3 linked regions of the Saccharomyces cerevisiae S288C genome follow. The gene in region 2 interacts genetically with the main gene of each other region. Each region holds a gene or a part of one and is shown on either strand. Other genes may lie near its edges.

Region 1 (4,104 bases), on a different chromosome or scaffold from region 2:
GAATCGATTTTCTAGATTAGCCTTTTCGACTTCATGTTTGAAAATGGCTTCCGCCATTGGTGATCTACAGAAGTTACCCAAACAAATGAATGCGACCGATATTTTTGGTTTTTCAATTGTCATTTTCGTGTTAACTTTCCCTTCTCAGTTTTCTATCGCTTATCAAAAATCACAGGGTTTCAATTAGCCTTTTAGGAGTTATATTCTTTATTGGCTTTATACTTGAATGGTGTGATTCTCTCGAAGGGTTTAACATTCAAGCTCGGCCATGTGCTGGTACAAGGAAAAAGAAAGAAAAAGTAATCATTGAAATTTTTCTATAATACGTACACCTATAATATAAGAAGGAAAAGGACTGAGTGTTTGGAATATTGTTAAAAGTTTGAAACTATTTTTTTGCTTAATCGTTTATAAAAAAAGTTGTATTTAAGTTGTATAAAGTTTTATTTCATTTTTTCACAAATAATATCATATCAAATCTGATGATCTACGATCAGAATTTAGAAAGCTTTTTTCAAAGGAGAAATTAGCTTGTCACCCTTATAGAATGCAATGGTCTTTTGAGCTCTTTCAGCAACACCTTCTGGGGTGAAACCGAAGAACTTGAAGACTTCTGGTGCCTTACCGGAGGCACCAAATCTGTCAATACCGAAGGATTGATGAGCGTATTTGCCCCAACATGTGGTAGCCAAAACTTCAACAGACATGATTGGAACGTTGTCTGGTAAGACTGATAGTCTGTATTCTAGGGGTTGTTTGTCAAAAGTGAAGAAATCTGGTAGAGAAACAACACGAGCCTTGATGTTCTTTGCGGCCAAAGTCTTAGCAGCTTCAACACTCAAAGACACTTCGGAACCAGTAGCCACTAAAATAATATCTGGGTTAGCAACATCTTGTAGTACGTAACCACCCTTAGAAGCGCTTTCAATAGAGCTACCTTCCAATTGTGGCAAGTTTTGTCTGGACAAAGCAATGATACTTGGAGTATGCTTGGATTCTAAAGAGTTCTTGTAGGCGGCAGAAACTTCGTTACCATCAGCTGGTCTCCAAACTTGAATGTTTGGTAGGGATCTGAAGTGTGCTAAAGTTTCAATAGGTTGATGTGTTGGACCATCTTCACCGACACCGATAGAGTCATGTGTAGCAACCCAAATAACTGGGTGGCCAGACAAAGCGGACAATCTAACGGCACCAGCAGCATAAGAAACGAAGTTCAAGAAAGTACCACCGTATGGTTTGTAGTTGGCACCGAAAGCTGAAATACCGTTCATTATGGCACCCATAGCGTGTTCTCTAATACCGTACCTAATGTATCTACCAGAGTAGTTACCTGAACCGGAAGAAGGAGGTTGGAAGTCAAGGGCTTCCTTCCATCTGGTCAAGTTAGAAGGTGTTAAATCGGCAGAACCACCAATCAACTCTGGCAATTGATTGTAAACATCCTCAAGAACAGTTTCTGATAATTTTCTAGTGGCCACGGCAGAGTCCTTGGCGGTGTAAGTTGGCAACTTAGATTCCCAATTTGCGGGTAGTTGGCCGCTCAATCTTCTAGCCAATTCAGCACCTAATTCTGGGAATTTCTTTTGGTATTCGCTGAACAACTTGTTCCACTTGTTGTTGGCTTCGACACCTGGCTTTAAAATTGTCTTTTGGTAGTGGTCGTAAACTTCTTGTGGAACAACAAAGGACTTGTCTGGGTTGAAACCGAATTTGCTCTTTAGTTGTTTAACATCATCTGCTTTCAATGGGGCACCGTGCACAGAGTGAGAGCCGGCATGCAAGGAACCGTAACCAATGGTTGTGGTCATTTTGATCAAAGTTGGTTTGTCCTTGGATAACTTAGCTTGAGCAATAGCCTTGGCAATACCGGCTAGATCTTCGTTACCATTTTCTACGTACAAAACTTCCCAACCGTAGGCTTCGTATCTCTTAGCAACATCTTCATCGAATGAGATACTGGTAGCACCATCGATAGTGATCTTGTTGTCATCGTAGATGGCAATCAAGTTACCCAATTTCAAATGACCAGCCAAGGAGGAAGCTTCTGAAGAAATACCTTCTTGCAAACAACCGTCACCCAAGAAAACATAGGTGTAGTTGTCAGACAAGGTAAAGCCCGGCTTGTTGTAAGTGGCAGCCAGGTTAGCTTGAGCCATGGCCATACCAACAGCGTTGGAGATACCTTGACCTAATGGACCGGTAGTAACTTCAACACCTGGCAACTCAAATTCAGGATGACCTGGTGTTCTGGAACCCAACTGTCTGAACTGTTTCAAGTCTTCAATAGACAGATCGTAACCAGTCAAATGTAGCATAGAATACAACAAAGCGACCGCGTGACCGTTAGACAAGACAAATCTATCTCTGTTGATCCAGTCTGGGTTGGTTGGGTTCATGCGCATTTGACTCCATAGAACGTGTGCAGCTGGTGCCATACCCAATGGAGCACCTGGGTGACCTGAGTTGGCCTTGGATACGGTGTCCACAGCCAAAATTCTTATGGTGGAGACGGCTAGCTTATCAATGTCAGTGAATTGAGTCATTTTGTTTGCTAAAGAGGTAACTATGTAGAGTTGCTTGGGATGAGCTTCCTTCTCTGTTGTACTTCAGTTTGATCTGAAACTTAAAAAACGAAATTTAAAAGGAAGACAACGGTGAGAACAAGAAATGAATGAATCAAGAAGTCACGATCAAGTATGTAGGTAAAAGATCAGGGGGGAGTATGTACGTAACCAAAAAGATTGGGAAAGAGTTTATATATGAATCATGCCTACGATCGTACCTTCTTGGCTTTCCCAAGAAAATTTTTCATCTCTCGAACTTCTCGAGAGATTGCGAACGGAACGGCAAACGCCGCCGGCATTTCTCGGAAAGAAGACTAGAAAATAAATGACGGTGGGAAAAAAAGCAAGAAGCTACGGTTACCCGCAGCGGCACTATAGTAGATGGGCTTTTAAGCCCGTTTTCAGGGTCAGGTAATATGTAATGTAGTAGCACTTAAACTTGCTAACCATAAATGACCAAAATGCAAGTTTGCTGTATTTTAGTCCCGTTGGCGTTTTCGGATGCTTCATTCCCCAGAGAAGTGATGTGTATGCGAAAAATGTCTCAATGCAGCTTTGGCTGCTGCGGAACTTATCCGCTTTGTAAGCACATCTTGTTTTAATGTGTATGAATTTTTATATTTGGTTCGAAAATTATGACATTCGGCCAAGAAACTTTCAGAGGAGCTGTGTATTAGCAGATGGTAAGCGCACGTTGAAAATGCTGAATATTATTAATTTAGACATACCTTGATGGCTGAACAGTAGTCAGAAAATTAAAAAAAAAAAAAAAGCGCTTATTACGGCGTATACACGTAACTATATAGACGTAGATCATTGAATATTGATATGATATAATATTTTCCCCGGGATTGCAGAATACTGACACGCCTTTTATTTATCGTTCATCGTGTATTTCGAACTTGTCCTCAAACGGGCTCTCAGTGCGACTGCCCTGGGTGCTCTCGCGTATCGATTCTGGAATTTCCAAGTCCAGTATAAAACTTCCTTCTTCATCGTCATCTTCGTCGTTATTACCATGGCTTGCCTCGCTTTTTGCCATGTGTGAAAGATCATCCGCCTCTGTCTGTTCTTCAATGACATCCAAGTCCTGAATCTCCTTATCACTCTCTTCCTCTGCGATTTGAACCAGTTTAGGTTTAGCACGAATAGCAGTTATGAGGTTATCGTCTGCGTCCTTATTGAGTACCTGGTTATGCTCGTCATCTTCGTCATCCAGACCATCCAAGATGGAAGAACCTAAGGTTATATGTGACCTGATATCACCAGCTGCATTTTGTCTCTTAGAGCTCGAGCGTAGTTTTGATTGCAGTTTGTCGGTACTCAAACCGCTTGTCACACCAGGAATGTAGGCAATAGGCAAAATATTAGAAGCCCTTGTACGAGTGGTAGATGCTGAACTTCTGTTTCCCGGCACGTTGAGAGTTGGAGGTACCAGTGACGTATTGAACAGGGTGTGACTTTCATCTTTTCTCATACCGCCATCATCCTCATCGTCTTCATCATCATCGTCTTCATCGTCGAAGTATTCCTCTTCATT
Region 2 (3,591 bases):
ATTGACTAACTGGGAAAACATGACCAAAAACCTAGATGATTCTGATGATGTTGTCAAGATTGCTCTTGTGGGAAAATACACTAATTTGAAGGATTCCTACCTATCTGTGACCAAATCCTTAGAACACGCAAGCATGAAGTGCCGTCGTCAGCTAGAAATCCTCTGGGTAGAGGCAAGTAACCTAGAGCCCGAAACTCAAGAGGTGGACAAGAACAAGTTCCACGATTCATGGAATAAGCTCAGTTCCGCCGACGGAATTTTGGTTCCTGGTGGATTTGGCACGAGAGGTATTGAAGGTATGATTCTTGCTGCCAAATGGGCCCGTGAATCCGGTGTTCCCTTTCTTGGTGTCTGTCTTGGATTACAAGTTGCCGCTATCGAGTTCGCCCGCAATGTGATAGGCCGCCCAAACAGCAGTTCTACAGAATTTTTGGACGAGACACTACTAGCTCCTGAAGACCAAGTAGTCATATACATGCCCGAGATCGACAAGGAACACATGGGTGGCACGATGAGATTGGGTTTGAGGCCTACCATTTTCCAACCGAACTCAGAATGGAGCAACATAAGGAAGCTTTATGGTGAAGTTAATGAGGTGCATGAGAGACATCGTCATCGCTATGAGATAAACCCGAAAATAGTGAATGATATGGAGTCTCGTGGCTTTATTTTTGTTGGTAAGGACGAGACGGGCCAGCGTTGCGAAATATTCGAATTGAAAGGCCATCCATACTACGTGGGCACTCAATACCATCCAGAGTATACATCGAAGGTGCTGGAACCATCAAGACCGTTTTGGGGGCTTGTGGCCGCAGCCTCCGGCACACTTGGTGAAGTGATCAAGGACATAAATCTAAGCGAGGGAAATGAAAATGAATGAATTGATGCGCTTACTACTTACTTACATACGGTTTTTATTCAAGTATATTATCATTAACATTAGTTGGTTAGACCAATGACACCACAGGCTGGTCTTGGACCGGCATTACCAGTCTTCAAAGATTCTTCAGTGTCACCCTTACCTAAGTCATCTTGGCCGGCGTGGATAACGACGCTTCTGCCTACAACGGAGGTAGGACCGATAAGCTTGATCAAAGAGTCCTTGAAGGAGCCCTTGGCCACACCATTTTCGTCCGTCTTTACGTTACCCATGTCACCGACATGTCTGACTTCGTCAGTTGGAGCACCATGTGTCTTCTTGAAAGGATTGAAGTGAGGACCAGCAGAGACACAACCATTGGTGGCATCTCCAAACTCATGAATGTGGAACCCACGTTCTGCGTTAGGACTGTTACCAGCGATCTCGTAAGAGACAGTGGTTGGCTCGGATTCGGAAGCCTGTTCGAACTTGACAACACCAGAGACACCGGCATCACCCTTTAACACTGCGACTGCTTGAACCATTATAAATTAATTATGTTTTATTTGTTTGCGCGATTGCTTTCTTGCCTGTTTTTCCGCAACATAGTTACAGCTAAACATTTGCCCAAAACCATCTTCTTATATATATATCTGCGATGGCGAGCCCAGCGGAAGGGATGTCCGCTTACTAATTCCGACACACCGGTTTAACCCCCCGGCGTGCTGGGGTGGGTGCCCCTAAGGGAGCGGGTTCTGTACTTCCAGTAAGCGGCATTTGCGCTGTCATCGCCTTATCGAACCCGCTACTGAGATCATGTCCTGAGTGGGTGAGTCGCACGCCCAATCGGCTGCACTTCAGAGATACTTACGTCCAATTTCGCATCATGCCAATATTACCTGTGGAAGTTGAAACTTTTTTTGCAGATGCCGATAATTTTCACATGGATGAGTCGCAGTGTCGTCGTACGTGATGAGGGCAGGCTTGAAAATTATTCTTCGAGCCCAATTCTCTTTACTTATAGGCATGCCATGTCTAATTAGGTAGTCATCTCAGTTTATCTTGTGCAGGGTAGAACCAAAGATAACAGCAAAAGAAAGAGCAAGCAATTATGACCGCACCATTGGTAGTATTGGGTAACCCACTTTTAGATTTCCAAGCCGACGTCACGGCTGAATACCTGGCCAAGTATTCTCTAAAGGAAAACGACGCAATTTTGGTCGATGCCAAATCAGGCGATGCTAAGATGGCTATTTTTGACGAGCTCTTACAGATGCCAGAAACAAAGCTTGTTGCAGGTGGTGCTGCTCAAAACACTGCTAGAGGGGCAGCATACGTTTTGGGCGCCGGCCAGGTGGTGTACTTCGGTTCCGTCGGTAAGGACAAGTTCAGCGAGAGATTGCTTAACGAAAACGAAAAAGCTGGTGTCAAGTCTATGTACCAAGTTCAAAATGATATTGGTACCGGTAAGTGTGCCGCATTAATCACTGGCCATAACCGGTCCTTGGTCACTGACTTGGGTGCTGCCAATTTCTTTACTCCAGACCACTTGGACAAGCATTGGGACTTGGTCGAAGCAGCTAAGCTCTTCTACATCGGTGGTTTCCACTTGACCGTGTCTCCAGACGCTATCGTTAAGTTGGGCCAACATGCTAAAGAGAACAGCAAACCTTTCGTGTTGAACTTTAGTGCTCCTTTCATTCCTCATGTCTTCAAAGACGCATTGGCCAGAGTTTTGCCTTATGCTACCGTCATCATCGCTAACGAATCGGAGGCCGAAGCCTTTTGCGACGCCTTCCAATTAGACTGTGCCAACACTGATTTGGAAGCTATTGCTCAAAGAATTGTCAAGGACTCTCCAGTTGAAAAGACTGTCATCTTCACCCACGGTGTCGAACCAACAGTGGTCGTGTCCTCCAAGGGTACCAGCACATATCCAGTCAAACCTTTGGACTCTTCTAAGATCGTCGACACCAACGGTGCTGGTGACGCCTTCGCTGGTGGCTTTATGGCTGGGTTGACTAAAGGTGAAGATTTGGAAACCTCTATTGACATGGGTCAATGGCTAGCTGCTTTGTCTATTCAAGAAGTTGGTCCCTCTTACCCTTCCGAAAAAATATCTTACTCTAAATAGATTCTTCTTACAATATAATAGAAATAAAATATACTCTACGTGTTCCCTCTAGCTTTTCATTCGTAGACATGTTTACCGCTTGTTCTTAAACCAAATAAGCCACCGTTACCACAATAAGGAAAAGAGGCGCTATAAAGTACAGCTTCAAGAAAAAAGGACAAGCAGCGCTAAGAACAAAATACTCGTTCATCCTCTCCACATACGGCCGTACACAAGCAACAATAACACAATAATATGGACTGGGCAATCAATGTCGCCCATCCACGATTACTTTACAAGGATCCTAAACTTTCAGTAACGTTTATTGTGCCGAGCTTATTTCATATCATTATTGCTTTCGTGTTATTAGGAATATGTGCATCCGATTTTCTTTGCCCCAACGTGGCCCATATATCAGATCCCAACAGCCTTCGATCGAATGGTTCTTTAGTCTCAAAAACGGCGTCCCATGCATCTCATACTGGGGCATTAATGGCAGTTCTACTATCTTGGTGTAACTCTTCGCCTGACCTATTTTCCAACTTAATGAGCTGGGCAACCTCTACGAGAGAAACAAGGTCAACCTCAGTATCGCTATCAATTGGTGAGGTGCTTGGCG
Region 3 (2,743 bases), on a different chromosome or scaffold from region 2:
AATTTGGAACGTGCCCCCGTTACTATTGTAATGGCATGCAGTTGCTGCCTTGTGGGTTGAGCGATACAGTTGGGAAACACACCGTAAGGTTGTACTGTCCCAGTTGTCAGGACTTGTATCTTCCCCAATCATCTAGATTCCTGTGCTTAGAAGGTGCATTTTGGGGGACAAGCTTCCCTGGTGTGTTCTTGAAACATTTCAAAGAATTGGAAGAGTATGTGGAAAGGAAAAGTAAAGAGTCCTACGAGTTGAAAGTTTTTGGGTTCAGGATAAATGATGAGGCAGTATCTGGTCCTAGAATGAAGTGGTTGAGACAATATCCATCCACGGAGGAGGACTGGGAAGAATTTGCCAAATGCGAGTTCGAGACACCGGCGGTTTAACCCTTGATTTATTTTCCTCTTTGCCCTACCATATACATATGTACTTTACCTATTTACATTGTTTCAGTTTTTATATCACCACTATTATTATTATTACTATTACCACTTTGGAGTACTTTAGTGATTCATTTCCAATTGTTTTCCTGGAGCCCAGTCTTTGAATGCCTTGGCCAAGTTGTACCAGTACTTTAGCTCCACGGTCAACTTCACTGCGGCGGCGTAATCCTTGTCATTGTAGCATTGTCCCAACTGGGCTTCAATATCTTGAATTCTTTCCTTGTTTTGCTTTTCAAGCAGCTTCACACCAGCTTCGTCGTCCATCTGGGATAATTCATCATGGATGTCTAGAACTTTCAATAGTAACTGTGGATCACTGGTAGTTACTTCATTTGAGGTCTGTTCTTGCGTCAAATCGATATTGCGCAAGAGTTTTAGCATATATTGTGACCTTCTAAGGGGATCTTTGAGAGTATGGTAAGCTTGATTAAGAGTTGATGACTGTTCACTACCTTGTTGGGCCATGTCTGGATGGTGCTGTGCTTGTAATTGCCTATACTCCTTCCTTAATCTGGATTGATCGATAGTCCAAATGGGTAGCTTTTTGGGGAAGGTCTTTGGGAACAGCTCGTAAAATGTAGAAGTGAATCTTCGTTGAACCAAGTATTTCAACATTGTGCTTGTGGGGCTTCTTGATACCTGTTTCCATTATCAGCCTCAGCCTTTAATTTCGCATCATCTTTTTAGTTTCCTTTTCTTTTTCGTTTTTTTTTTACCTATTGTTAAGAATTACGCTGTGAGTTTCATTGCTATTGTTACAAAAGACAAGATAGTCTCAAGATACAACTGAGAAGAAGCACAATTATGTCCGATAGATTCGTTATTTGGGCTCCCTCGATGCACAATGAACCTGCCGCAAAGTGTGGGTATTGTCACGGTAATAAGGGGGGCAACATGGATCAGTTGTTCGCATTGGATTCGTGGGCTCATCGTTATATGAACAAAATGGACGTTGTAAAGATTGAAAACTGCACAATTGGCTCTTTCGTGGAACATATGGATGTAGCCACGTATGATCGCATGTGTAATATGGGATTTAGAAGGTCTGGTAAGTTTCTTTATAAAGTGGACCCGTTGAGGAATTGTTGTAGGTTATACACCATTCGAACTGCCCCTCAAGAATTGAATATGACAAAGGAATTGAAAAAATGCATCAGCCGCTTTGCTACTAGAATAACAAGTGAGGACTACTGCCCAGCCGCTGTTGCAAGCAGTGATTTTGTGGGCAAAATTGTTAATGCAGAGATGAATTCTAAAACATTCTATACCCGATTTGAGCCTGCACTTTATAGTGAAGAAAAGTATCACTTATTTGTCAAATATCAGGAAAAAGTGCATCAAGACTACAATAATTCGCCGAAGTCCTTTAAGCGATTCCTATGTGATACGCCCTTTGGCCCTGAAGCGGTGTTGGGGACACAAGAATCATGGGAGCAGTTAAACAATTGGCAGCGAATGAAGCCAGGCGAGAAACTGAAGCATATGGGTCCTGTGCACGAATGCTACTACTATGAGGGTAAATTAATTGCCATCACTGTGTCAGATATCTTGCCCAGTGGTATATCTTCGGTATATTTTATTTGGGATCCAGACTACAGTAAATGGTCCCTAGGGAAGCTCAGTGCTTTGCGCGATCTTGCCATCATTCAAAGGACAAATCTGCAATACTATTACCTGGGGTACTATATTGAGGACTGTCCGAAGATGAATTATAAAGCAAACTATGGTGCGGAAGTACTGGATGTGTGTCACAGTAAATATATCCCATTGAAACCCATTCAGGATATGATTTCTAGGGGCAAACTCTTTGTCATAGGTGAAGAAGAGACGAAAGTTACTAAGGAGCTCTACCTCGTTGACTCTGAAACCGGAAGAGGGGAGGGATTTCCCACTGATAATGTTGTCAAGTACAAGAATATTGCTGAGGAAATATACGGTGTGGGAGGGTGTGCGTTTAAATCTGCAAATGAATCTGCATTGGAATTGAAAGAACTTTACGGTATACCGTACGAAGAGGAAGATTTAGATACCATCTACCATTTGAAAGAACACAATGGCCATGCTCCAAATGGTATTCCTAATGTGGTGCCGGGATTACTCCCGCTATGGGAATTGCTGGACATTATGCAATCTGGCAAGATCACTGACCTGGAGGGAAGACTATTTCTCTTCGAAATCGAAACGGAGGGGATTCGACCATTAATTAACTTTTATAGCGAACCTCCGAATGTCAAGAAACGTATTTGTGACGTGATACGGTTATTTGGCTTCGAAACTTGTATGAAAGCCGTCATTTTATATAG

Evidence for each region. Genes that interact genetically often act in the same process or in processes that back each other up.
Region 1: of SOD1 (region 2) and TKL1, extra expression of one rescues a mutant of the other (dosage rescue), as found in Saccharomyces cerevisiae (3 studies listed by BioGRID, with this or other methods).
Region 3: of SOD1 (region 2) and JAC1, a mutation in one rescues a mutant of the other (synthetic rescue), as found in Saccharomyces cerevisiae (2 studies listed by BioGRID).

What each region holds. Positions count from the first base shown.
Region 1 is NC_001148.4:692,296-696,399, forward strand, and holds TKL1 (transketolase TKL1), read right to left. Parts: upstream 2,544-4,104; coding exon 501-2,543; downstream 1-500. Other genes in the region: tyrosine protein phosphatase LTP1, read right to left, coding at 1-123; OPY2 (Opy2p), read right to left, coding at 3,442-4,104. UniProt on the Saccharomyces cerevisiae protein: Catalyzes the transfer of a two-carbon ketol group from a ketose donor to an aldose acceptor, via a covalent intermediate with the cofactor thiamine pyrophosphate.
Region 2 is NC_001142.9:621,611-625,201, forward strand, and holds SOD1 (superoxide dismutase SOD1), read right to left. Parts: upstream 1,405-3,591; coding exon 940-1,404; downstream 1-939. Other genes in the region: CTP synthase URA8, read left to right, coding at 1-880; ADO1 (adenosine kinase), read left to right, coding at 1,971-2,993; ECM27 (Ecm27p), read left to right, coding at 3,228-3,591. UniProt on the Saccharomyces cerevisiae protein: Destroys radicals which are normally produced within the cells and which are toxic to biological systems.
Region 3 is NC_001139.9:458,610-461,352, forward strand, and holds JAC1 (J-type chaperone JAC1), read right to left. Parts: upstream 1,056-2,743; coding exon 501-1,055; downstream 1-500. Other genes in the region: casein kinase 2 regulatory subunit CKB1, read left to right, coding at 1-383; ATE1 (arginyltransferase), read left to right, coding at 1,245-2,743. UniProt on the Saccharomyces cerevisiae protein: Co-chaperone required for the assembly of iron-sulfur (Fe/S) clusters in mitochondria. Stimulates the ATPase activity of its specialized Hsp70 chaperone partner SSQ1, to mediate the transfer of iron-sulfur clusters from ISU1 to GRX5.